Linked DNA regions of Cricetulus griseus. The protein of the gene in region 1 interacts with the protein of each later gene in a pairwise test. Links are inferred from orthologs where the notes say so. Each region holds a gene or a part of one and is shown in the gene's direction. Other genes may lie near its edges. The genes, in order: Glrx3, Map3k3, Trim36, phospholipid scramblase 2-like, Grn, Mapkbp1 and Ca9.

Evidence for each region.
Region 2: the proteins of Glrx3 (region 1) and Map3k3 interact in a two-hybrid assay, tested with the Homo sapiens proteins (2 studies listed by BioGRID and IntAct). The link is inferred for Cricetulus griseus from reciprocal best matches to the Homo sapiens genes GLRX3 and MAP3K3.
Region 3: the proteins of Glrx3 (region 1) and Trim36 interact in binary tests that used the Homo sapiens proteins (3 or more experiments, as listed by UniProt). The two-hybrid records come from large-scale screens. The link is inferred for Cricetulus griseus from reciprocal best matches to the Homo sapiens genes GLRX3 and TRIM36.
Region 4: the proteins of Glrx3 (region 1) and phospholipid scramblase 2-like interact in binary tests that used the Homo sapiens proteins (3 or more experiments, as listed by UniProt). The two-hybrid records come from large-scale screens. The link is inferred for Cricetulus griseus from reciprocal best matches to the Homo sapiens genes GLRX3 and PLSCR1.
Region 5: the proteins of Glrx3 (region 1) and Grn interact in binary tests that used the Homo sapiens proteins (3 or more experiments, as listed by UniProt). The link is inferred for Cricetulus griseus from reciprocal best matches to the Homo sapiens genes GLRX3 and GRN.
Region 6: the proteins of Glrx3 (region 1) and Mapkbp1 interact in binary tests that used the Homo sapiens proteins (3 or more experiments, as listed by UniProt). The two-hybrid records come from large-scale screens. The link is inferred for Cricetulus griseus from reciprocal best matches to the Homo sapiens genes GLRX3 and MAPKBP1.
Region 7: the proteins of Glrx3 (region 1) and Ca9 interact in binary tests that used the Homo sapiens proteins (3 or more experiments, as listed by UniProt). The two-hybrid records come from large-scale screens. The link is inferred for Cricetulus griseus from reciprocal best matches to the Homo sapiens genes GLRX3 and CA9.

What each region holds. Positions count from the first base shown.
Region 1 is NC_048596.1:63,470,510-63,474,009, reverse strand, and holds part of Glrx3 (glutaredoxin-3), read left to right. Parts: intron 1-392; coding exon 393-450; intron 451-2,071; coding exon 2,072-2,124; intron 2,125-2,634; coding exon 2,635-2,674; intron 2,675-2,774; coding exon 2,775-2,867; intron 2,868-3,500. UniProt on the Homo sapiens protein: Together with BOLA2, acts as a cytosolic iron-sulfur (Fe-S) cluster assembly factor that facilitates [2Fe-2S] cluster insertion into a subset of cytosolic proteins.
Region 2 is NC_048600.1:119,080,079-119,083,578, forward strand, and holds part of Map3k3 (mitogen-activated protein kinase kinase kinase 3), read left to right. Parts: intron 1-950; coding exon 951-1,084; intron 1,085-3,500. UniProt on the Homo sapiens protein: Component of a protein kinase signal transduction cascade. Mediates activation of the NF-kappa-B, AP1 and DDIT3 transcriptional regulators.
Region 3 is NC_048595.1:191,869,325-191,872,824, forward strand, and holds part of Trim36 (E3 ubiquitin-protein ligase TRIM36), read left to right. Parts: intron 1-94; coding exon 95-392; intron 393-1,522; coding exon 1,523-1,877; 3' UTR 1,878-3,500. UniProt on the Homo sapiens protein: E3 ubiquitin-protein ligase which mediates ubiquitination and subsequent proteasomal degradation of target proteins. Involved in chromosome segregation and cell cycle regulation. May play a role in the acrosome reaction and fertilization.
Region 4 is NC_048597.1:201,287,349-201,290,848, forward strand, and holds part of phospholipid scramblase 2-like, read left to right. Parts: intron 1-1,305; coding exon 1,306-1,538; intron 1,539-3,500. UniProt on the Homo sapiens protein: Catalyzes calcium-induced ATP-independent rapid bidirectional and non-specific movement of phospholipids (lipid scrambling or lipid flip-flop) between the inner and outer leaflet of the plasma membrane resulting in collapse of the phospholipid asymmetry which leads to phosphatidylserine externalization on the cell surface.
Region 5 is NC_048600.1:115,672,851-115,676,955, reverse strand, and holds the start of Grn (progranulin), read left to right. Parts: upstream 1-1,305; 5' UTR 1,306-1,378; coding exon 1,379-1,410; intron 1,411-3,816; coding exon 3,817-3,961; intron 3,962-4,071; coding exon 4,072-4,105. UniProt on the Homo sapiens protein: Secreted protein that acts as a key regulator of lysosomal function and as a growth factor involved in inflammation, wound healing and cell proliferation. Regulates protein trafficking to lysosomes, and also the activity of lysosomal enzymes.
Region 6 is NC_048599.1:58,467,727-58,470,500, reverse strand, and holds the end of Mapkbp1 (mitogen-activated protein kinase-binding protein 1), read left to right. Parts: intron 1-76; coding exon 77-304; 3' UTR 305-2,274; downstream 2,275-2,774. Other genes in the region: bifunctional peptidase and (3S)-lysyl hydroxylase JMJD7, read left to right, coding at 2,411-2,474. UniProt on the Homo sapiens protein: Negative regulator of NOD2 function. It down-regulates NOD2-induced processes such as activation of NF-kappa-B signaling, IL8 secretion and antibacterial response. Involved in JNK signaling pathway.
Region 7 is NC_048595.1:100,007,358-100,011,520, reverse strand, and holds the start of Ca9 (carbonic anhydrase 9), read left to right. Parts: upstream 1-1,363; 5' UTR 1,364-1,397; coding exon 1,398-1,788; exon of another isoform or gene 1,789-2,315; intron 2,316-2,628; coding exon 2,629-2,658; intron 2,659-2,812; exon of another isoform or gene 2,813-2,868; coding exon 2,869-3,039; intron 3,040-3,152; coding exon 3,153-3,295; intron 3,296-3,378; coding exon 3,379-3,471; intron 3,472-4,163. UniProt on the Homo sapiens protein: Catalyzes the interconversion between carbon dioxide and water and the dissociated ions of carbonic acid (i.e. bicarbonate and hydrogen ions).

The sequences.
Region 1 (3,500 bases):
GGGGTGAGGAGCATAGTGCACATCATGATGGGAAAATGCTCACTGATACATCTTGGGAACTTCTAGATGGCTCAATGTATAGCTCCCCCCCCCCAATTGAATAATACCTTACTGAATTGGTTATTATTATATTTTTAGTACTACAAGTTGATGGGCTTAAATTGCAACTGGAAGGAACATTCTTTGCCTTAAAAAGGCATATTATGTTTTACAGTGGCTCAGGGAGAGAATGAAATAAAGGAAAGTGTCAGTGCTTTTGCTTGTTTAATACCACTCAAAGCTGTGAGCTGTCATCCTGCTATCCCTCAAATATGCCTGCTACTCATGAAGCAGAGCAGAAGTGGTGTTTAATAATTGAGCTGAGCCATTTTATATCAATTTTCTCTCTTCAGGCTCAAAGTGCTGACCAATAAAGCTTCTGTGATGCTCTTTATGAAAGGAAACAAACAGGTAAGGAACTCAAAAATGGTTTTATTTGTAATTTCTTTTGATGTTAACATCTGCAGCAAGGGGACAGTTAAGTCTTTTTTTCTAGTTTAGCTAATGAAGCTGTAGTGGTACCAGGAAGTTATCCTGGCCTTAATTGGTGCTTATGGAGATCAAACAAAGTAATCTCCATTTCGACTGACTTTATCATCAGTGTCTCAGCAGGGTGCATTGCTTTCTGCTGCCAAACTTTGTCAGCTGAAGTGGTCAACACTATGAGCGAGCACTTAGCGGATTCTCTCAATTGCTGTCCCAGTATCCTTTGTTTGAGAGAGTGGACCGTGGGCAAATGTACTTCGCTGGTGGTTCTGAGATTCTTGGTCTTAGGTCCTTGGAGTGGGAAATAAACCCTGACAGTAGCCCTATTGCTCTGTGGTACCTGGTTGATGAGTGAGTAAAACTACCATGATTCTCATTTGTAGTACGATGACTGGTTCTTGTACTTTGATGAAAGTACATACTGAATTTTCATTAGTTTGATAGGTCCCCTTGCACTCATTATTGGGCGAAAAGCTGATTCTTTTCTGGATTGGGATTAGGCTGGTAATTTTGAAAAGCTAGCCCTGTCATTTCTCTTGCATTTTACAGTTTTAACAGTTGAGTTTTGGCTGTTCAGCTTCACGAAAGCAAAGCTATGCAGTTTGCTTTTCTCAGGATAAGGAGACTAAAGTTCAGAAGAGTGAGGTGGTAGAGTAAGGAAGCTGCCCAGGTTCTGGACAAGCCGCTTTGGGCAGGTGATGCCACGAGGTCTTTGTCTTCCTTTGTCTTTTTGTGAACTGACCTAATGATGCCATTAGACTGTTTTAACTTCAGGTTGCTGTAAGGGTTGCTGTGGTATCAACAGAATGAGACCCATTAGTTAAAACAATTAACTAGTTAATGTAACTAGTGTGGTAGAAGTACTAAGGAAGACAATATAATTTTAGCAACTTGGTACCGCTGTGTTAGGACATAGACTCTGTGACTGTAGTAATGATGAGGCAGCACTCTTTTGCTCCATTATTTTGAAAGCAGACTTTGATTCTTCACATTTCTTGTGGCTGTCCTGGTAGAATTTGCATTTCTTGGAAATGGTGTCCTGAGAGGTTTTGAGACGTTATGTATTATCAGACTTCTTTCCCAAGATAGCTGGGGCTTGGGGAATCTCTGACCTGAAATAAAGCATAGGATTTCAATCACTTCAAATGAGCTGATGCCACAATGCAAAGATAAGTTTAAAAGATGTGATAAAGGTCTGTGGCAATGTGGAAACAGTTACTTTAGTTATTGCCACTGACTTCTCTATGTCCTATCCCTTTGCATAAAGCAAGGAGAGTCAGGTGAGTAGATGATCTGGGTTTCACTTAGGGAAACTTGTGACCATAAAGGTTTTAAGCTGCTACATGTCCCCTCATTTTAGGAGGTCTGTAGGTTGTTTGGGATGATGGCAGCCTGGATGAGTACTTCATAGGGAAGGGAACGGAAGCATGGGAGCTGGGTAAACACAGTGGCTGGGGTGCCAACTTGAGCATTTGCTGCAGCCACACTTACTGGGTCTGTGAAAAAAAAAATGAACAATGTACTTCTTTTTTTAAATGTAATTTAGGAAGCAAAATGTGGATTCAGCAAACAAATTCTGGAAATACTGAATAATACCGGGTATGTAAATCTTGTTTTCAAGTGTTATATATAAAAAAAATTGTAGCTTGTCAGTTTTGCCACTGATACTTTACAGCTTTAATGTCAAAGCCTATTTGCATAGTATTTATTGACAAGTATAGTATTTATTGGCAAGCAAGATGGCTTAGAGGGTAAAAGGCACTTGTCCCCAAGACTGATGACCTGAACATGATCCCTGGGACCCAAATAGTAGAGGGAGAGAACTGACTCCTACAGGTTGTCCCCTGGTGTCCACACAAATACCTTGGCCTTTCATTGTCCCCATTAAGTACATAAGAGAGTTTTGGCAGCTCCTGCTGTAGCTAGTTTTGTCCATCAAAGGCTAGTAATTTTGTCTTAGAATGACAAGCCCAATGATAAAGTCATTCCCATTGCTTTATAGTAGGCTTTCTCTAGTAAGTTTTGTTAGCAGGGAATGCTTTTCTTGACCATATTAAAAACACTAGTTGGGTTTTATGTTTTTTTGTTAAAAAGATTTCTCCCTTTCAGGGTTGACTATGAAACTTTTGACATACTGGAGGATGAAGAAGTAAGTTCTGGGATTTTTGTTTCATCCCATGTTTAGCTTTAGTAACAGGGTCTGGTGGAAAGACCTCAGGGTTCCTGATTTTTTTTTTTTTTTTTTTTAGGTGCGGCAGGGATTAAAAACGTTCTCGAACTGGCCAACCTACCCTCAGCTGTATGTGAGAGGGGAGCTTGTAGGAGGATTGGATATTGTTAAGGTAAGGGCTTTTCGTTGCTCTTCTAAAGAACTGAGAAATTTGACATGTTTAAGCATCCAACTTTAGTGTTGTCTGGCTCCTGTTTTCTCCAGCCTCACATTCAGCATCCTCTGTGAATATGTCTTAGTGTCTCTTGCTTACTCCTGCTCTGAGTTGTCCTCAAATCCATTCAATGCTGCCAGCTGCCAGTGAGAGCTAAACTGTGTAGCAAAATGTTCAGATGAACTCAGGACCCTGCTGTGCTAACTGCAGTACAGCTTTCTTCTCTGTTTTCTTGCCTACCAACCATCTTTACCTGATTCCTCTAACTTTTAGATTTTCTTGTAGCATCCATATTTCCTCCATCCTTCAGGGTTCATCTTCCTTGTAAATGTGTACATTCTTCCTGCCAGAAACATTTCTCTGCCCCCAAATTCTTATGCTCCTTCAGTTTTTGTTATTGTAATTGTTTCTCTGGCCATTTTCCTTTTCCCTTAACCTATCTCAGGTACAATGAGGAAGAGGACTAGGAGACTGAGGCAAGAGTCTCTTGGCCCCTATGCCATAGTGGCTACAGGTCACCTCTGCCAAGTGACAGGACTCTTTTAGTTGTTGGAGTGTTTAAAATTCTGTTTAAAGCAAATACTGCATGTT
Region 2 (3,500 bases), on another chromosome or scaffold:
TTTTTGGGGGGGGTGTCTTTTGTTTTGAAGGGTCTTGTTTTATATATATAGCTTATGCTAGTTTGGAGATCAGTCTCTCTGTTCCTATCTCCTGAGTCCTGAGATTATAGGAGTGCACTGTCTTGCTAAGCTAGTTATTGTTAATCTCTTATTAAACATAATTTAAACATTAAATTTTTGTCATAGATATACATGCTTTGGGTTTGCTATTATTCAGGATTTTAGGCATTCACTTGTGATCTTGCCCAAAAGAGAGAAAGAGGAAGATATGATATTATCAAGAGAAGTGACATTATGAATAATAGATGAGAACATTAACATTTTTATCATGTGTATGCACACACATGTACATGAGCATGCCGTGGCATGTTTGAAGATTAAGGACAATGTGCAGGAGTCAGTTCTCTCCTTCTATCACATGGATCTTGGGGGATGAACTCAAGTTGTCAGGCTTAATGACAAGCACCCTTACCCGCTGAGCTATCTCAAAGTCCTAAGAGCATTTTGTTTGTTTGTTTGTTTGGTTTTTTTGAGACAGATTTTTCTCTGTGTAGCTTTGGAGCCTTTTCTGGAACTCCCTCTGTAGACCAGGCTGGCCTCAAACTCACTGAGAGCCATCTGCCTCTGCTTCTCGAGTGCTGGGACTAAAAGGCGTGAGCCACCACTGCCTGGCTATAAGAGCATTTTTTAAAAAGCTGGCTGACTTCCAGTTTGTGTCACAGAGTTAGTTCTGATCCATGATTTGTGTTGAGGTTCTGTACTATTCCATCTCTGAAAGTAACTTTGTAAGGAAGGGAGGTCGTTTGCTTCCTGGAGCTGAAGATGCTGGGCTCTGGTGCCATGACCATCTGAATTACATCCCTGATCCCTTGGGCCCAGTCTTCTATCTGGCCCTGTTCCTCTTGTGCCTCATGTTGTCTCTGTGGTTAAATCTTCTTTTTGTGCTCTAGGCTCCCAGAACCCTGGCAGAAGCTCTCCTCCACCTGGTTACGTACCCGAACGACAACAGCACATTGCCCGGCAGGGATCCTATACAAGCATCAACAGTGAAGGCGAGTTCATCCCAGAGACCAGCGAGCAGTGTGTGAGTATGGGGGGCCGGGGTGTACCATGATATGTTCAGACCAAGATTGCTCTCAGTGACACATTACAGACCCAGGGAATTTGATGCACATGCCATAGTTCTTTGAAAACCAATCCTACCCCAAGATGGGTTATTCCTTTGAAAGGCCAAAGGTCAGTTCTTTTCAAAGATGCTATCTAAATTTCTTAACTTCACTAGTGTTAGTTGAGCACTTAACAATATCCCTTTTTAGGTCCTCTCACTAGGCCCCTTGTAAAACACCGCTGTACTGTATGTACTATTTGCAGACTTATTACAATGGCCTATTCTCATTCAGCAATTTTAACTATGAACTGACAGATTGTGGTTTTCATTGGCTACATTTTAATTTTGCTATTTCTTGATGAAACGGCTGGGGGGGTTGTAAATTATACTGTGGGACTGGTAAAATAACATGATTTTGCTAATAGCTGTGTTAATTGTCTTTTTTGTTTGTTTATTTGTTATGTTTTGTTTTGTTTTTTGAGACAGGGTTTCCCTGTGTAGCTTTGAAGCCTGTCCTAGAACTAGCTGTTGTAGACCAGGCTGGTCTCGAACTCACAGAGATCCACTTGCCTCTGTTTCCCAAGTACAGTGATTAAAGGCGTGTGCCACCACCACCCCACTAGTTGTCTATTGTTACATAATAAATTGTCACCAATTTGGTCTTAAAACAGTACACCTTTATTGTTTTAGTGTCTTTAGATGGGGAATTCAGACATGCCTTAACTGGTTTGTTTTTTTTTTTCCCTCATGGTCTCACAGGGCTACAGTCAAGGTACTCTCCAACTGCATTTTCTTCCTGAGCTTAGAGTTCTTAGCACAATTTAGTTCCTTATGTTTGGTAGGACTATGACCCTTTTTTTTTTTTTTTTTTTTTTTTTTGCTAGAGGTTGTTCAAGGATTCTATCAGATTCTAGAAGCTGCCTGCAGTTCCTTATTATCAATTTCTCATAGCATGGCCTTCTTCAAGGCCAGTCCAAGACTCAGTTGTTCCAGTCTACAAAATTGGAGTTGTTGTCATTGTCTTCTTCTTCTTCTTCTTCTTCTTCTTCTTCTTCTTCTTCTTCTTCTTCTTCTTCTTCTTCTTTTTTTTTTTTTTTTTTTTTCCGGGATAGGGTTTCTCTGTGTAGCCCTGACTGGCCTGAAACTAGCTTTGTAGATCAGGCTGGCCTTGAACTCAGAGATCCTCCTGCCTCTGGGTTTAAAGCATGCGCCACCACCACCCAGGCAAAGTTGGAGTCTTCTATAATATAATGTAATCATGGGGATGGGCATTCCTATCCTTTCTGCTATAGCCTGTTGGCTAGAACCAAGTCCCAGTTCTACTTGCATTCAAGGGAAGGGTTGAAGGGTTGGTTGTCCACCACAGTGGCGCACCCATTTTGATAGCCAGCTTTTTAACCAGTAACTTACTTAATAAAATTTACACTGGGTTGGGGGGGGGGGGCTGGAGAGATGGCTCAGAGGTTAAGAGAACTGGCTGCTCTTTTCTAGAGGTCCTGAGTTCAGTACCCAGCAACCACATGGTGGCTCACAACCATCTGTAATGAGATCTGGTGCCCTCTTCTGGCCTGCAGACATACATGCAGACAGAACACTGTAGACATAATAAATAATTTTGTAAAATGTCTGTAAAAATACAGGAAAAAATTACATTTTGGGTTAGTCAACTGAGTAAGTCCTCTCTGTTTTATTCTGCTTTTTTTTTTTCAGTGAGCTTGTCTTTATTGCAAAGAATTAAGTTCTTCAAAATTTCTGGAATTTGACTTAAGAAGGGAATATTTCTAACTTATAAAATAGCCAACAGAGGGGGCTAGAAAGATGGCTCAGGGAATTGAGTTTAATTACTAGCACCTGTGTCAGCAGCTCACAACTGCCTGTAATTCCAGCTGTAGCAGATCTCACACTATCTTCTGACTGACTTCCATGGGTATTGGCATCTATCCCCACACATACATATACATGAACACATAAACAAAAACAAAAAAAAAAATCTTTAAAAAGGAGGTGGTCTGGAAAGAAGGCATAGTAGTTAAAAGTGCTAACTGCTTTTGTAGAAGAGCCAAGTTTGGTTCCCATCACCTATACTGGGTGGCTCTCTGCCTAAAATCCTAGCTCCAGGGGATCTGGTGTCTCTTCTGGACTCAGTGGTCTCCTGAACTCGTATGTGCACATGCACACACACACATAATTTAACATCAGAATATGTGGGGTTTTACAGAATGTTCTTTAACGTTCACTATTCAAACTATGAGCTGTAGGAAGCCATTTACACTCTTCCTCCTCCTATGCTCCCACTCCCAGGGGATTTCATATTTAGAGCAGTAACATGCACTGCCTTCAGCTGCAGATTTCTTTCCTGGTAAGAAAATACTGACCATCTGTATTGACCATG
Region 3 (3,500 bases), on another chromosome or scaffold:
TTTCTATTTGAAAACCATCAACTCAGCCTTAAATGATAGAAATCCTGGTAGATGGTACTCAGGTTACTTAAGAGTATCTTTACCCTCCACTCAGTTTTCAGTTTCCTGTTTGATGAGAAGTGTGGCTATAATAACGAGCACCTCCTGCTGAACCTGAAGAGAGACCGGGTGGAGAGCAGAGCTGGGTTTAATGTTCTCCTGGCTGCGGAACGCATCCAAGTGGGCTACTACACAAGCTTAGACTACATCATCGGAGATGTGGGAATATCGAAAGGGAAACACTTCTGGGCATGCCGTGTGGAGCCATATTCATACCTGGTCAAAGTAGGGGTTGCCTCCAGCGACAAACTGCAAGAGTGGCTGCGGTCTCCCCGGGACACGGCTAGTCCAAGGTAGGTTCTTTGCTTGTTAACAACTTTAAAAGTAAATTGAGTCCAAGATCTAACGCTAATGTACAAACTGACCTAGTGACGCCCATTGTATATGGAGAGATACCTTGCTTAGTCTGGCAGGGGTTGGGGGAGGTTTGGTCCTACCTCAATGAGATGATGGGACAGACTTAGTAAACTTCCTAGGGGAGGCCTTACCCTCTCCAAGGAGCAGATGGGAGGTGGGGGTGAGGAGGTGATGGGGGGAGCAGGAGGAAAGGAGGGAGGGGGAACTGGGATTGGAATGTAAAAAATAAATTAATAAAGTATCAGTGTCACACAAGATCACCCTGAAAACAGACTGGGACTCATTCATTATATTTGGAACACACATTCCTTAGATTCAGTGATTGGCTCTGCCATGTGGCTGCTTTAGAAAAGGACTCTGGGTGTATTGTATTTATTCACAGAATAATAATTAATTTTTGCTGCTATGAGAGAGTTTGTCTGTTTTGAATTCCTCTTCATTATGATTCAGCTTCAGAGCTTAAAGTTGGAAAGTTTTCCATAGTTCCTAAAGGGCGTGTTAAATCTACCCATACAGTGAAATGCCTTTAACTGCCTCTTTCATGGCACTAGAATTTTCCCTAACTTTTCACATTTCACAGAAGGAAAAACAATGTCATTATTCTTTCTTGATGTGGGAATCACAGTCAGGAAATAGGATTCTCAGGAGAAGAATGAGCCATGCTCTTATCTCATGTTAAGTGGCTAGTTATTTCCTTTAATCTATTAACCCCATGGGTGAGGGCATAGGTCTTTATATTTTATGACATACCACTGTGTACCATAAATATTAAATCTCAAATTAAGCCCTTTACCCTCCCCTGCTTTTTTTCAGTAGAAATGCATTTTAAGTTCTATTTATATATATAAATTTATGTAACAATGGATGGCACTATAGGGGATTTGGTACCAAGCACATAATTACAACTCTAAATGGCACTTTGAAGTCCGTGCTTTTTTATGTGTGTTAATAGATCAATTTTGGGTATGCTAACTTTAGAACAATATGTTATTTTTGGAGAATGTGTTGATGATACTGGGAGGCTGTGGCTGGAGATAAGTAAGGTCCTGTGTTTATTGTGTTGTAGATATGAGCAAGACAGTGGGCATGACAGTGGAAGCGAAGATGCCTGTTTCGATTCTTCACAACCTTTTACATTAGTTACTATAGGCATGAAGAAATTTTTTATACCCAAGTCACCTACTTCTTCTAATGAACCCGAAAATAGAGTTCTTCCCATGCCAACTAGTATAGGGATTTTCCTTGACTGTGATAAAGGCAAAGTGAGCTTCTATGATACTGATAACATGAAATGCCTGTATGAGCGCCAGGTGGACTGTTCGCATACAATGTATCCAGCATTTGCCTTAATGGGCAGTGGAGGAATTCAGCTTGAAGAACCCATCACAGCCAAGTATCTGGAATATGAAGAGGATGTGTAGCTTGTATACCACATGTGGCGAGGATGAAAACCGTGAAGGATGAAAACCGTGAACACAGCCATGCCTTGGTGTTAGTCTTCGTAACTAATTACATATCATTTATGTCTTCTGTCACCACACCTGTTTGTAGTGTTCGATTCTTTATCTTGTTTGGCTTTGACACACAGGGTCTTGCTATGAAGCCCAGGGTGGCCTCAAACTCTGTCCTTCTGTTATAGGCTCCAGAGTACTGGGATTATAGGTGGGCACCACCATACGCAGCTAGTGTATGAGTCTTTAACACTCAAAAGGCCTTCACAGACTTGTCCATTTCATGTCATTGTTCTGCCTTTCACAAATGGTGAGAGTGAAGGCATTTTTGTCACAACTAGTCCCAGGTAGCCAACTTTACAGCTGGTCCTTCTCTTTGGATACAAGGACTCTAATTTATTTAAGTCAGCTGATGTTGCTATTATTTACATTCCTTTCATTTTTGGGGGACAGGGTGGAATACAAAGTATTTATTGTGGTTCTTTGTGCTGATTTTTTTCATGTCCAAAGAGAAGATATTTTAAATGACTATTGATAGGAATTAGTCCTAAACCATGCATCTTGAACTTGTTGTTAATAGGAAAATAAAGTTACAGATAGGTAAAATGACAAAGGCCATAAAATGGTAGTATATTTAAGTAGAAAATTATGTATTTTAAAGTGTGTAACTACTGAGTGTATATTGCGTGGCAAATGAATACTGCTTTTTTTTGTAGACCACAGACTTTATTTATTGTTACGGACAGCTCTAAGAGTTGCCTGGGCTGTAAGGCTCCTTATTGGCATATGTAGCAAGCATGGTCTGTCATAGGAAACACAGGTTCTTGAACCTGTGCAACTTTTCACTGCAATATAATTTTTCCAGAAAATTTTATCTTCAAATTTTCTTACTTCAGAAAATACTTGCATTTATAGCAAAGAATTATTTTTCAGAAATATTAGTGAAGATGAACTGATAGTGAACAACTGTCTTGTGAGTTTTGTGGTTTTGGCACAGATGTTACACATCAGGTTTTTCTGGCTTACGTTTACAAATTTGAGAAGTTCATTGTCTGTCTTAATGGCATTAAAAGACCAGACATATTACATGTTACTATTGTCCAGTTGGGTCGAATTGTCTGTGGCTCAATGTAATCATAAACATTTTTAGAGCGAATCAGTAAAACACAAAATTATTTAGAAATAGTAACTAAAATCAAAAGGATTGTGTACAGTTAGTTTGAAGAATTACACCTTTTCTAAATTGGATGTTAGTTCCTGCAAAATTATCTTCTAGGCACCAAAATCATCTTTTAAATCGATGATTTTTATTTGAACAGCCTTTTTAAAAAGGTAAAATGTCCAGACACTAAGACTTACGCTTATGGAATGCTAACATTTTAGTGGAGTAACCAAAATTTTGGAAGCTCTTTATCTTACTTTTTTTTTTTATCGTTCTTAATGGAAGTCTGCTAGGCTAATCACACTGCATCAGACCCACCACTGACTCCCCCACCCCCATGTGGATAGGTCTGGAGAACTTGCATTTAGTGATTGTCATTCCTTTCCCATATATCTAGCACTTTATGACACAGGAAGCAAAGAGAATGTGCA
Region 4 (3,500 bases), on another chromosome or scaffold:
GAGTGAAAAGAGTCATTTGTAGAAGATAGATGAAACTAGACACAGCATATTAAGAGATACAAACCAGTCTGGGTGTGGTGGTGCACACATTTAATTCCAGCAATTGGGAGGCAGAGACAGGTGGATCTCTGTGAATTTGGCACCAGTTTGGCCTACATAGCAAGTTAAAGACCTCCAACCATGGCAGTATAGTAAAACTATCTCAAAAAAACAAGTATCAAAAATCAACACAACAACAAAACACACACACACACACACACACACACACAGAGAGAGAGAGAGAGAGAGAGAGAGAGAGAGAGAGATACAAGCCAGATTCCCAAAGACAGATATACCTACTTTTATTATTATTTTTGTGTGTGGAATATAGTTATAAAACCATGACCATATAACATCAAAAGCATACTCAGTTATTTGAGGGATTAGTCAGAACCCAGTGGGACAATATAGACAGGTACACAAGAGGCTAATGGAAGATGAATTGTGAACAAAGAACATGATATTCAAGTATGTCAGTGTCACAATATAATGTGTTACTTTGTCTGCTAATTTAATTGTTAATATTGTTGTAAACTTTGCTTTGTTGTTCTGAACTGTGTGTGTGTGTGTGTGTGTGTGTGTGTGTGTGTGTGTGTGTGTGTGTGTGTGTGCACATGGGTGGCTATAAAAATAGATCACATATTGAAGTGCATTTCAGAGTTCAGATAAAAAAGATTGTCTGAAACCCAATAATCAGATAGAAGGTGCTCCAGTGACACAATCTGGATATAGATTAGCGAGAGGCACTTATACAACACAGAGAAAATCAGTATGCTCCTGTGAAAGAGAGAAACACCTGTGCATCTGGCTTATGTCTCATTATATGGTGATGTCTACTTTCATATTTCTTCCTACAAATGAATTCATGCTTCTTTATGGCTGAATAAACTATTATCTATATCCATTATCATATCCATATCAAGATCCATATTATCTCTATCTATATTCCTCTCTCCGTGTCTCTCTGTGTCTCTGTCTCTGTCTCTGTCTCTCTCTGTGTGTGTGTGTGTGTGTGTGTAGTTTTCTTCATCATATGTTGGTAGGTATCTAGGCTGATGCCACATCTTGGCTGATTATGACTAACTGGTATAACAATAAACTTGGTTGTGTATACCTATAATTAGAAGCAGGTATAAACCACAGGTACTGCATTGAAAAGTCTTAAACATCATAGACCAGAGTGGAGAGGCCTCAAGATAATTCAACATGAAATGATTATACTTTTCTCTATGAAGTTGCAAATCAATTTCCTTGCTCCTATTTCAGGAATTCCAGAACATACTGGATGCCCTACATTCCAGACTGACTACCAAGGTCCCCACTCTGGTAACCCAGGACCTCAGGCTGGCTACACAGTCTCAACAGCTGGCTGTGAAGGTTATAATGCAACACAGCTTCCTGTTCAAAATAACCAGGCTATCATCCTTGTTAATACCCAATGGATGCCAGCACCACCACCTCTTCAGAGCTGCCCACCTGGGCTAGAATACTTAAGTCAGGTAAATCCACATACTCAGAACTCACAAAAGACAAAACTGTGTTTCTACTTCTAGTTTACTTGGACAACAAATGAATAATTCACCGAAGTATAGCATTGTCCTCATGTCTTCTGGTTACTCATAGTAACTGGTTCCACTAGATGAAGTTCAGTTGTTGTGCAAATTACCAAGGTGTGAGACAATTGTGTTTTCCTGTGAGTCTGGCCTATAACCCCTAATAGGCAGTATTTACTATACATTATTCTAGTCATTGTTTCAAGTACAATCCTTAGAAAATCTGTGACATGTGCACAAGATTATCACTGGTTTTTCAAAGAGGGAAACCAGCGTCAAAAAATGCTAACTGCTTTGTGGAGGCTCTAAAACCACGGAACAGTCATTGTGACTTACTTTTTAACTGTGAACTTTGGTAATGAGTATAAAAGCTTTTTACCCCAAGGCTGACCCACAGCCTTGGTATTTGAAAAAAGAGAGTCTAAAAAAAATTAGTTATTGTCTTTAAAGGATACCTAAAAAAGAGCAAGTTTAAAATTTTTCTCTTTGTTTTTTTGATACGGGGGTTTCTTTGTGTAGCCCTGGCTGTCCTGGAACTCACCTTGTAGATCAGGCTGGCCTTGCACACAAGATCCACCTGACACTGCCTCCCAAGTACTAGGATTAAAGGTGTGCTCCACCACTGCTGGGAAAGAGTAATTTTTTTCATATATGTAGTTTTATAAACTGTAACTCCACTTTTATTCTTTAGAAAACCCAATATTATAATTGCCTCCAGTGAGGGAAGAAAGTCTGGCTTTTGCCGAACTATAGTTCAATGATAATGAATTTTAGCAAAAATGCAGTTTAATAATAGCTCAATATGAAAAGCTGGTGAGGTAAAAAGAGGGCTGTGAGGTACACCAAATTCATGAACACATCCAGAGGGCCCTGTGATATCTAAGCCATCTCTAGTCTGTCTGGCACACATAGCACTAACATGTCCTGTGTGTGTTCAAGCAACAGACTTAGAAATTTTCAGTCATTTTGAATGCTCAGCCGTAAGAGGACATTGTTATGAATTCTCACACACACACACACACACACACACACACACACACACACACACACCAAGACTTGGGGAAATTATAGAGAAGGAGGCAGAAAGAATGTAGAAGTAGAAGAATAAGGAAAGGTGCCATGGAATGCAATCTATTGGATGAGGTGTGACTGCTGAACTCAGGAATGCACAGCAGCTAAGGGGGGCTTCCTAACTGAGGAGCTCTGGACACTTGTTAGCTTCTGGGGAAGGAAGCTCATTCTTCTTTGTGGGTGTGAGCACTGGCAGTTTTCCCATGCTCTACTCTATACCTGCACACCTGTGTACAAATGGGCAGCACTAATTGGACTTAGTGGATTATTTAAATATAAGAGAAATTTCAGTGCTAATTGTAATCTTAAAAATACTCTGGAATATACATAATTTAATCATGGAAAATAAAATATGAAGGAAAATTATCACTTACAAGGGATAGCTTCCTATAAGAAAATTATTTGAATGGATAAATAAATTATCAATCAATCTCATTTTCTGGAAAGAACACTTTTTTGTAATTTTATGGGAATTCCATTACAAATCAACTTTATTTGACTTAAAAATTCTTACTTTTGAGATGAACAAAAGTTTAAATAAACAAACTAGTGCTTGGGAAATGGCCCAAGAATTAAGAGGTATTCCTGGTCTGGCAGAGGACCCAGGTTTGATTCCCAGCACCCACATGGCCACTTACAACCATCTTCAGCTCCAGTTTCACTGAGTCTGTCTCCCACATATGCCCTCCGAAAGTACTGGATGCAAGGGGTACACTTACATGCATTTAGGCTGCACATTCATACAGGTAAAAATAAGTCCATCTTTAAATAAATATTTGCCATTAATATATAAAAATGTGATGCTATACAAAATACAATGGGGAGTGTGAAATGTTG
Region 5 (4,105 bases), on another chromosome or scaffold:
GGAGGCAGCAGGGGCAGGGAAACAAGAAGTTCTGGGTCATACTCAGATACATATCAAGTTGGAGGCTGATCTGGAACACAGGAGACCCTGACTCAGAGAGCTGCAAGGATACTGGGGCTGTGTTAAGCAATTACAGAATTGCAGAATTACCCTAGATACTCCACGTTGGCCTCCACTTTCTGGGATTCCTGTAGCTCTAGCCCAAGAAGCCCACCAGGCTCCTCTCTATGCAAGACTCTTACTGTCCTGGATTTATTCGTAGGGCTGTCCCCATTCCCCTGAGTGGCCTACCAGTCAAGCTCTTTGCTCCTCCCAGGGGACCTATCTTCCACACCAACTCTGCCTTTCCTACAAGGCCCAGCCTTGGGCTTTCCTGGGGCCTGTCCTCTTCCTGGCAGGTCTCCAATCAGCCATTTCTGTCTGGCCCAGGCCCTTTGGCACTCAGCAGCCTGGCTTTTGTTTCTGGCTAATCTGTTCTACTGCTAAAAATCTCTATTCATGGACCATGACAATTCCTCGAAGGTAGGGGTAGCTGAAACTAGGAGGCCTCTTGCACCTCCACAGCCACCAGCCTGCTTCACCAGCCCATGCCACATACTTAGCTCATGCCCAATGCCCTTACTTTGAATGTGGCTTTTAACTCTTGCTAGACACTGTACTCCCCATCTGCTTTCCTAACCTCTTCCGGAGTGCCTCTGTCCCGCCTAACCAGCCCCTTAAAATTCCTCTAGATTCAGTTCAGCGTGATACCATCTCCTGGCTAGCTCAAAGTGGATTTACATCTATTCTTCCCCTACCTTCAGCCAATCTCCTGCCTGGTACTCGCCCTTGAACATTTATTAGATTTAGTATCCCACCCAAATCTGGGGACTGTTTATCTTTACCCTCCCAACTATCTTTCAGCTTGTTTGGAGTCCTGGCTGCCTAGCGTGAAAACAGTGAATGTACAAATGTCCCGATCCAGAAGCCGACGCTATGCTGTAAACGACCTTGAACGCGCGCCCCGCAGGCGCCTTCTTAACTGTCGGTGGCCTTAGGTACGCAAGCCCCATCTCTAGAACACCTCGCCAGGCGCCGCCAGGGCCCTGGGGGGTGGGAGGAAAGCAACCGAACAAGCAAGCGAGGCCCTGGGGGAGGCGGGCTATGGTGTCATATGATTGCCTGGTCACATGATTCCTAGACATGGGGTGTGGGGAGAGAGAGGAAAGGGAGGAGGAGTGTGGATTGAGTAGAAAAGAAACACAGCATTCCTGGAGAGTCCCGCCTCTATGTAGACAAGTAGCCAATGGAAGCCCCGGATTCCCGACCCAGGGCTAATGGAAACTGAGGTGGGCGGGCCATCGGGCAGCCAAGCCCTAGTCCGAGAGCTGACAGCCAGATGCCTCCCAGGGAGTGCGGACCCCGAAGCAGGTAGGAGGACCCGCAGCAGACATCTCCCTGGCTGCTGTCCAGAGGCCTGGCCAGGCTTGCTGTGCAACTGAGGCTGCCCCGGAGCCTCAGCTCAGAGACGAGAGAAGTCCTGCCTCTTGAAACTCCCCTCGGGGTTTCAGATGCACTAACGAGGGTTTGTCATTTGGGAGGAGTGGGAACAGTTGCTGTAGACACCCCCAACAAGAGGCTCCCCTGCCCAGCATGTCGGAAAGCTGCAGGGCTTTCTCCAGAGCAGGAAGCGCCCCACTCTTGGGCCAGCTTCATCTCTCTCGGTGCCTCCCACCTCTTGTCTCCAGGTCCCGGCACTTTCTCATTCTGGTGCCGCCAGTAGTCTTCGCGGCGACTTGCAGTGGGTGGGGATCTCCCGCCCTTGGTCCCAGAGCTCAGAGGAGTTGGGAGCAGGAGTTGGGCGTGGTGGCAGAATCCCTGGGTTGTGTCAGCCGTACTTCCTTTATGGGGGGCGAGAGAGCTAACTTCCGCCTCTCCCCGCCACTTTTCCCTGCTCCTCTGCTGGATTGGCTCACCTTTTGGGAAATTCATCTCCCCTTGACACTCCGGAGTCGGGGGTGCCACCTAGTGGAAGATCTCGAAGCTAGGGCCTTGAAAGGCTCCTCCAGTCCTCTCAGGCTATTTCAACAGAGTGGTGTAGAGGTGGCCAGAGGTCACCACTCCCTAACCCTAATGAAAGGGATTAGGTCTCCCCTACCCCATTCTAATCTGGCCAGGAGATGACCTCTGGGATATTCTTTGAGAGGGTGCTTGAAAACCTAGAGAAGGAAGGGGAGGGGGCACAATGAGGGACAGATCCTCTATGTAGCCCAGGCTGACCTCATAGTCACCCTGTAGCCTGGAATTTGTAATCCTCCCACCTTAGCCTCCCAAGTGCAGGGATCAAAAGCATGTTTGTCATGCCTATCGGAAGCTTTGAGGTCTGGATGTTGGGATTTTGCCTTCCATGGCCACCAGTATTCAGAGTTTGAGGCACAGGAAACAATTTCTGAGGCCCTCAGCAATTGATCAGTGGCAGATTTTACACCGTCCCTGTACCCACCCTTTCTTTTGTAGATTTTTTTGTTTTGCTTTTGTTTTTGAGCAGGATCTTTTTGTCCCTGGCTGTCCTGGAACTTGCTATGTAGACCAGACTGGCCTTGAACTCACAGAGATCCACCTGCCTCTGCTTCTGGATGCTAGGATTAAAGGCGTGTGCCACCACCGTCTGGCTGTACCCACCCTATTTCTATCCTGTGTAGGTCACCTGCCTGGGAAATGTTCTGCCCGCTTCCCTCTGCTTGGACCTCTGGCCTCTGGGATTTGGGGTCCATTCCCTGGCAATGTTCAGGGATGTCAGTTGACATAAGAATCCAGGTCCAATATCTGCAGTCTGTTTTCTCTGACTTGATACCTGGGCATGGATTTGAAAAGTGAAAGTAATCTGATCACTGCTTTGCATAGTTGTGCAGAGAAATACAGTAAGGAAGGGCAAAGTGGCTCCCTGGAGGGTCTTTGAATATTGCTGTTTTTGCTGCCCCAGGCAGGGGAGTGTCACTCTGGGTTGCTGGGTAGGCCAGCTGTGCTGGGGAAAGACTTATTAGGGAAGTGAGAGACTCGGTTCCTCCTGCTAAGGCAGAGGGCCAGTGAAGAAGTACACTTAACTTTGCTCTTGCAGCTGAGTTTCGATTTCTGAGTAGGGAGAAACAGGTGGTATGTTTGAGGAGTCCAAAGGAGTCCTGGTGATGCTGAGGAGGGCTGGTTATGAAATTAGCTTCAAGGCTAATCCAGCCACCATGTGCCCTTCCCCTGGGTGGGGAGGGGACAGTTGTGGGCAGGCAGTGGCTGGCCTGTGGGAAAGGCAGCCCAGACTCCCCTGGCCACTGCACTTCCGTTTTCACAACTTTCTCAACCCCTGGTTTCCCATATGATCATGTGATTGACAACTCTGTTTCCCCAAGGCCTTTGAAAAGTACATGTGGGAGTTCAGTGCCAGGCAGCGAGGTGAGGCTGGCTGTCCTCTTGTGGCCGCTGAAGTCTCCTCCCAGTTAGCCCACAGTCCCATAAATCAAAGCCACATGGCTTCCTGACTGTCATAACTCCGCGCCTCTCCAGTCGCCTATAGTGTCAGGTGTTAGGCCAAGTGTGATGACATGATGGACACTTGTGTTCATGCCAGCATTCGTGCTCACCGTGTGTGCAAGCTGGTGCAAGTGTGATGCTTACAGTGTAGGATGCTGACTCAGGCAGCTGCTTGCCTTCCTGCTCACTTGTTGAGAAGTTTCAATAAATCCAAGGCATGTCATGCCTTGGCCAGGGCATGGGGAACTGCATGGACTCAGAATAGAAGGTGGCATAAGCTTAAGATGGCTGCCAAACTTTCCTTGGCATTTGCAGGCAGACCATGTGGACCCTGGTAAGCTGGCTGGCCTTCATGGCAGGCCTGGTGGCTGGAACACAGTGTCCAGATGGTCAGTCGTGCCCTATTGTCTGCTGCCTGGACCCCGGAGGAGCCAGCTACAGCTGCTGCAACCCTATTCTGGTGAGTGTCTCACGCCCCAGCTGGCATCCTGGCCTTTTGAAGGGTTACCTTGGATTGGCCAGAAGAGGTCTGGCACAGATCCTCTGGTATATGTCATTGCTTCTTTCCAGGACACATTGCCTATGGTAATGAGCGATCGTCTAA
Region 6 (2,774 bases), on another chromosome or scaffold:
CTAGGCCCAGGTGGGGCCCCCTTTTCTGTATCATTCTCTACTGAACCTCACCTCACTTGCAGTGTTCTTGTTGCAGGTGACCAGCTGTAAGACACCTTCAGCAGAGCACAGCCACATCACCCGTCTCCTGAGGGACACCTTCTCTTCAGTGCGGCAGGAACTAGAGGCCCTGACTGGAGCTGTGCTGTCTAGCCCGGGCGGCAGCCCCGGGGCTGTGGGGGCTGAGCAAACTCAAGCCCTGTTGGAGCAGTACTCAGAGCTATTACTTCGAGCTGTGGAGCGGCGTATGGAGCGCAGACTTTGATTTCCAGAAGCCTGTCCAAAATGAATGCTCCCCACTGAACCTGTAACCCTTCTTCCACTCATCAGAACCTGTGAGAATGTCTGGAGTGGACAGCAGGGGTCAGTGCTCAGAGGCAAAGCAGCTTTCCCAGCTGCTGCTCAGGGGCCCCTGTATTTATTAATTTATTTCCATGACTGTTGCCTCACTTCCTTGGGACTCCTGCCTCAAAAGCCCCTCCAGTGGCTCATAGCAGGGCAGGTCTTGAGTCTATGTCTTCTTGGTGCTGTGAGGGGTAGGAGGGCAGCCTGCCTCATCTGGGGGCACTGGGAAGGGCTGGCCTTCTCTTCTTAGAAGCCATTTGAATTTACTTCAGGGATCAGCTCCCTGGGGTGGAGCATACACAGGGTACTCCCTGGGGTGGAGCGTACACAGGGCACTCTGGGGGAGCGGTGAGAGGAGATGAGGCACTTAGTGCCCTCAAGCCAGCTGTAGACCCTTACCTCTGCCCTCACACCAGCTGCACTCTCCTGGCTGCCAAAGCAGGAGTGGTTTTACCCTATTCCTGGCAGTTGAGAAAGGTAGAGCTGCCTGGCCCTCCAGGGGATCCCAGCCCTTAGAAGACTTGAGTTGGTGTCAGGGCCTGAGCCGCACATTCCACTCCAATTCTCCCTGCAAGAGAGCCCCAGTATTTTCTACCGAATCCCTTTTTTTTTTTCCTTGTGGAGCCAGTTGTGGGATTTTGCTGCAGGACAGTGAAGCCCTCTGCTGAGCAAACACAAAGCCTGCCTACTTTTCTCAGCCCTTTGGGCTTCCTCATTCTCTAACCCTGGTCCCTAGAGGACTACTGAAGCCCCAGGGACCGCTTTCTCCCTATATCCTGGGCAATGCGCAATCAGAAAACTGTATTGGGAGTTCCCTCATGGTTTACAGGGCACTAGCCCACCTTCCTAGGACTTTGGCCACACACAGACACACACGTATACACAGTTGGAGTGTTCATTGTTAGAATACTTGCCTGGCTGGTAGGTACCTGGTTCTATCACATTTGGCCTCAGCTTCACTAGCCTGGCTTAGTTAGAACTCTTATCCAGAAACATGAGAAGGAGCACACTAAAATTCTGGAATCTTGGTGTCCGAAGCCAGGTTGACAGGAGATGGCTATAGGATACCTGGCTCACAGAGGAGGCTCTTTTTCAAAGGCAGAACTGGGTGCTCAGAGACACTGGGTACTGGAGATTGTGGAGTGGAGGCTGTGGGCAAGAGACACGCTGGAAAAGTGATAGGTGGACAGGTAGATGGCAGAGGTAGGGGGACAGAATTAAGGTAATTGTTAGAGGGTAAAGAGAAGCTATAGGCAGGCTGTAGGTAGGAACAAGTAGTGAGGTGGTTGCAGAATTGGAGTGAGTGTGTGTCTCCGGGCCCTCCCCCCTCTGCATTAGGTAACGCAGAATGACATTTCACAGGATTTAGACAACAAAACCTGCTGAAGCACCTTCCAAGTTCTGGAGGCAGAGGCTAGAAAGAAACAGCTTTAATGGGTGCTTAGCCTTGGTGGTTCGGCCTGAGTGCCCCAAGTACATCCAAACCATGTATTCCCATTTTTTACTACCGGCCTGACCAAACTCCTAGTCCAAAGAATAGCAGCGGCTGGGGCGGACCCTTTGGCAGTCAGGATTAGATATCTGCTTACTGCTAGGGCTGCCCTGACCTTAGCCAGCCTGCTCTTCTTGAGGGAGCCGGTCTTTCCCTGCGCTCTAGCCTGCACGGATGGGGTCTTGAGGCCAGTGGTGCTTGGTTCCCTTTGCATGTCGGAGGCCACTGGCCACTGCTGCCCACGTCCAGATTTGTCCCATCCCGGTTTTAAAAAGCCCCTTATTTATAACTTTTATACTGTGGCGCCTGTCTCCTCCCCGGCTGTACGGGGTGGGGCTGTTTTAACGTCTCGTTTGTACCGATGTATGAAATTGTCAATAAACACAATGATTTGTTAACTGGCTAGCAATCTCTGAAGAAGGCGCCGCTGGTCGCACCTCCTGAGGGGCGGGGCGCGGCGCGGCGAGGGCGGAAATGGGGCGGGGCTGGAAGCCTAGAGCGGAAATAGGGGCGGGTTCTATTCCCGCGAGCGTCATGGCGGAGGCGGCGCTGGGTACGGTGCGGAAGGTGTTGCAAGAGTTCCCGGCGGCGGCTCGCGGTGAGTGGCGTCAGCGCCAAGACGGCGTGGAGAGAGCCTGGGGTACCGGAGCTCAGGACGTGTGTTCACGAGTGGCCTATTGGCGGCCTCACATTTTCGTGTGTCAGTCACCCTTCTCTAGCTAGCGGACGAGTGCGCTGCTCTTGGTCACACGTGGGGTGCAGTTGTGGTTGTGTTCAAGGCCCGGGGGGTGCCGACTCCCTGCGCTCTGCATTGCTGCATTTTCGGTACAGAAGACTCAGCTTCAAATATCTCGGATGCCGGTGGGTTCTGAGGAGAGAAGCAGTCATTCGACTGTCC
Region 7 (4,163 bases), on another chromosome or scaffold:
TGCATGCTTGGGAACAGTAGCAATATCAGGAAGATTAGAGGAGACTCAGTAAATGTGCATTAAATGGACAGACTGGGGGCCTAATATAAAAACTGGATTCTGTCACCCTCTTCAAAATATTTCTTTTTACCTCTCTTTATTTGTTATGTGTGTGTTTGCACACGTTCATGTGCCATGGCACACATGGGAGACAGAGGGTTCTCTCTTTCCACCATGTCAATTCTGGGGACCCAACTCAGATCATCAGATTTGGTGGCAAGTGCCTTTACCCACTGAGCCATCTGGACAGCCTCTGTTCAAAATATTCCATGCCTCTCTTTTGCCCAGAGTACGATTCTCCTTACTGTGATAGCCACCTACCTCCCCATGGAGCTCCTACCTCTTCTTCAAAGGTGGGGTCAGATTTTGCCTACTTCCATACTTTCTTGCAGCAGAATTACGATAATATTTGTCCTCACTGGAGTGAGAGCTCCTCAGATATGGATTTCCGTATCCCTAGTCCACAGCCTAGCGTGCTGTAGGTACTGATACAGAATGCAAATATGAGTGGCATTCTTGGCACCGAGACTTAGATTTAAAAAGGCAGTAAAAAGTTTGGAGAAAAAGAAATGAGTATTTTAGGGCTGGGAGTGAAGCTCAATGGATGAGTACTTGTCTGGATTTAGTCTCCATCACTAAAAAACAAGGACAAAGGGCAGGAGAGCAAAAAAGTGCACACAAATGAGTAATCTGACTGGAACATTAGGGGGAAAGCAAGAGACAAGACTTAATGGTGTCTTGGGTGAGGTTTTGCAGACCTGGAAGTGGGAAAAAGAAAATGGTCATACTTTGGCAGGCAATGGGGGAGCCATCAGAGTCTTTCTCATATATATGTATATATTCAAACATTCATGCTCAAAATTGCCTCCTACTTAACCGTGAGACCCTTCCTACCCCTACCCAGCCCTAGGCTCCCCCAGTGTCTTTACCTGCCCCTTTAACGGAGACCTCACTGAGGCAGGATTTATACACGAGTTTCTTGTCTCCTCAGCCCAACTGCATGGGGGCCCCAGCTGCCTTCTTTCCTCTTCTCTGCCGAGGCTGGGAAGCAGGCCAGGCCTAGCAGAGACTGGCGGGCAGAAGCCGGGTGGTGCCACGGAGAACCTATACAGTGCCAGGTGGTGCCTTGGGCTCCAAGCTGAGCTGGTGATCCCGATAACCTTCTGCCTGTGACCACACCTGCCTCTTACCCCAACCCTGCCTCTTACCCGACCTGTGTCCAGGCTTTGGTATCGGGCAGGGGGCACGGGGCCAGGCAAACCTGTGGGACTTTGGCTCCATCTCTACAAAAGGGCATTCTGTGAGTCAGCCTGCTCCCCTCAAGGCTTGCTCCTCCCCCCACCCAGCTCCTATTTCCGATGCACGTACAGCCCGTACACCACACCGTGTCCTGGGACACCCCAGTCAGTCGCATGGCTTCCCTGGGCCCCGGCCCCCGGCCCTCTTTGTTGATCCCAGCCCCTACTGCGCCGCTGTTCTTTCTGCTGCTCCTGGTATCTGCTCATCCCCAGGGCCTGTCCGGAATGCAGGGGGAGCCCTCCTTGGGAGAGAGTTCATCTGGAGAGGATGATCTGGGCGTGGAGGATCTGCCCAGTAAAGAAGATGCACCTGGGGAGGCGGGTCAGTCTGGTAGGGAGGATCCACCTGAAGTTAACGCCAAAGCCAAAAAGGAGGATCCCCCGAAGTTAGAGGATCTACCCACTGTTGAGGCTCCCGAGGACAGTCAAAGTCCCCACGGGGACGGAAAAGGTAAGTAAGCGTCATCAGCTTCCAAAGTGAGGTTCAGGTAGTTTTCCACCTCCCTCACCACACCCCAACCCTAGCAGAGATGCAGGAGGGAAACTGTACTCTAACAGGTAGCCCTTCTCCCTACAGGGGAGAGTAGTTGGGAGAGATAAAAGAAGAAAGGGAGAAGTTGAAGAAGACATAGAATCGAGGAATGGATAGAGAGGCAGAAAAGTGTAGAGAGAGAAAGAGTGTGATAAGAGAAGGGGGTCTCAGAGGACGTATAGAGAGCAGACTGATGTCACAATTTGCAGTGCAGAAGCAATCGGCAGGCGGAGGAACTTTGGCTCGCTTTTGGGGCAGGAGGGGAGTAAGGGGTGAGGTGGGATATTGGGGGCAGGAGGGGAGTAAGGGGTGAGGTGGGGTATTATTACTTATCGGATCAGTTGGCCTTGAACTATTTCCTGCTGTCTACCTGTCTCTGAGCTCTGGGATTTCAGGTGTGTACCAGCACACTTGGCTCTGGGTTAGGAACTTGGAAAAGCTAGAGACTGGGAAGAGAGACCAGTGGGTGAGTAAAGGAAAAAGAAGGTTGATCTACTGATTTGGATCTCACACTGAAGCCACTCCACAGACCCTAGCATTTGCAAACTGTCTTCCCCCAGCAGGTTTGCTGACCACTCCCCCAGTGGCCGAGTCACAGTTGGTAGTAGGCCACCGTGCTTTGCACCTAGCCTGGACGCTCTTGTAAGACAACCCGGTCTGTGAGGCCCCGTCAGGGCTGGAGGGAATCTTTTTCTTTGTAGGCACTGGGAAGTGACTGGGCTGTAAGAGCGGGCTTATTAATTCTTCTCATTTATGCAGGGGGTGACCACAGTCCTTGGAGCTATAGAGGTAAGACACCGCCTCCCACACAGACCTACTCTGGGAGTCCAGGCTTTTGAACTGCCCCACCACCTCCTCCAATACTAGCTCTCATCTGGACCCACGTCTCTGCCCCTCCCCTTACTCCTGCCTCCACGCTTCCTGACTCCTCCCCTTCACTTACCCTAACGGTTCTTGTCCTACTCATCAGACTTCTTGCACCTTTTTCTCACATGCCAGGAACCCTACTCTGGCCCGAGGTGTCCCCAGCTTGTGCCGGCCGATTTCAGTCCCCTGTAGATATCCGCCCGGAGCTCACCTCATTCTGCCGCGCCCTGCAACCCCTGGAACTACTGGGCTATGAGCTTCAGCCTCTCCCGGAACTGAGCCTGAGCAACAATGGCCATACGGGTGAGGTGTCTGGGGCGGAGCCTACGGAGGGGAGCGGCAATTAAACTGTGCTTGGGGGTTGTGCTGGTGCTCCTGGGTGGCTAGACATCACTCCCTTGCCACTCCCCACACAGTACAGTTGACTCTGCCACCGGGGCTGAAGATGGCTCTGGGACCTGGGCAGGAGTACCGGGCCCTGCAGTTGCATTTACACTGGGGAACTTCAGATCACCCGGGCTCAGAGCACACTGTCAATGGCCACCGGTTCCCTGCTGAGGTGGGCATTAGGCTGTCCCAAGAGGAACAAAGAGGGTGTGATCAAAGCTCTGGCCTGAACCTGACCCTTACACCCTCTCTTAGATCCATGTGGTTCACCTCAGTACTGCTTTCTCAGAACTTCATGAAGCCTTGGGTCGCCCAGGAGGCTTGGCCGTTTTGGCTGCCTTTCTGCAGGTACCACACTTGACACTCATATCCCATGGGTTCAGTGCATCTTGCTAGCAGAGACCCCGTTGTTCCAGCACTCTCAAGCTGGTCAATTAGCTGTCAGTTCCATTCATGCTTTTGCTCATTCATTCAGCAGCAGCATGGAAACGGGAAGCAGACTACAAGACGGCTTCCTTTAAGGAACCCACAAACAGAGACTGACAGTCAGAAATGAAGAACACTAAAAATAATGGTCACAGAGGAGGTGAAACTTAAATCCTTCACTGGTGGGAAACAAGGAGGAATGTTGCACAGGGAGAGAAAGAATATGGACCATTCAGGGAATGCCACATGCAACAATGGGCCTGAGGAAGAGTCATTTCTCGGCTACTTCTGTGACCCATCATTTCCCCACCATGAAATGCAGTGTTTATTCAGTGACCTCTTTGTACCCCTAATGATCAAGAGTGCACACACCATGGTAGGAGGAAGCCAGGAAGTGAGGAGATGAGATGCCTGTAAGACTCACTAGTGAAGTTCATGGCACCAAGTGCCTCATCATGTAGATGCAGGTTACACTCCAAGAGTCCAACTCATGAATTATTAAAGTGAACACAGAGGTAACACAAGCACAGAACATTGTGGATTTCTTCAGGAGACCCGAGAGTATACCAGGAAATAATGGGGGAAACTGTGAAAGTTAGCAGGGCCCAGATCAC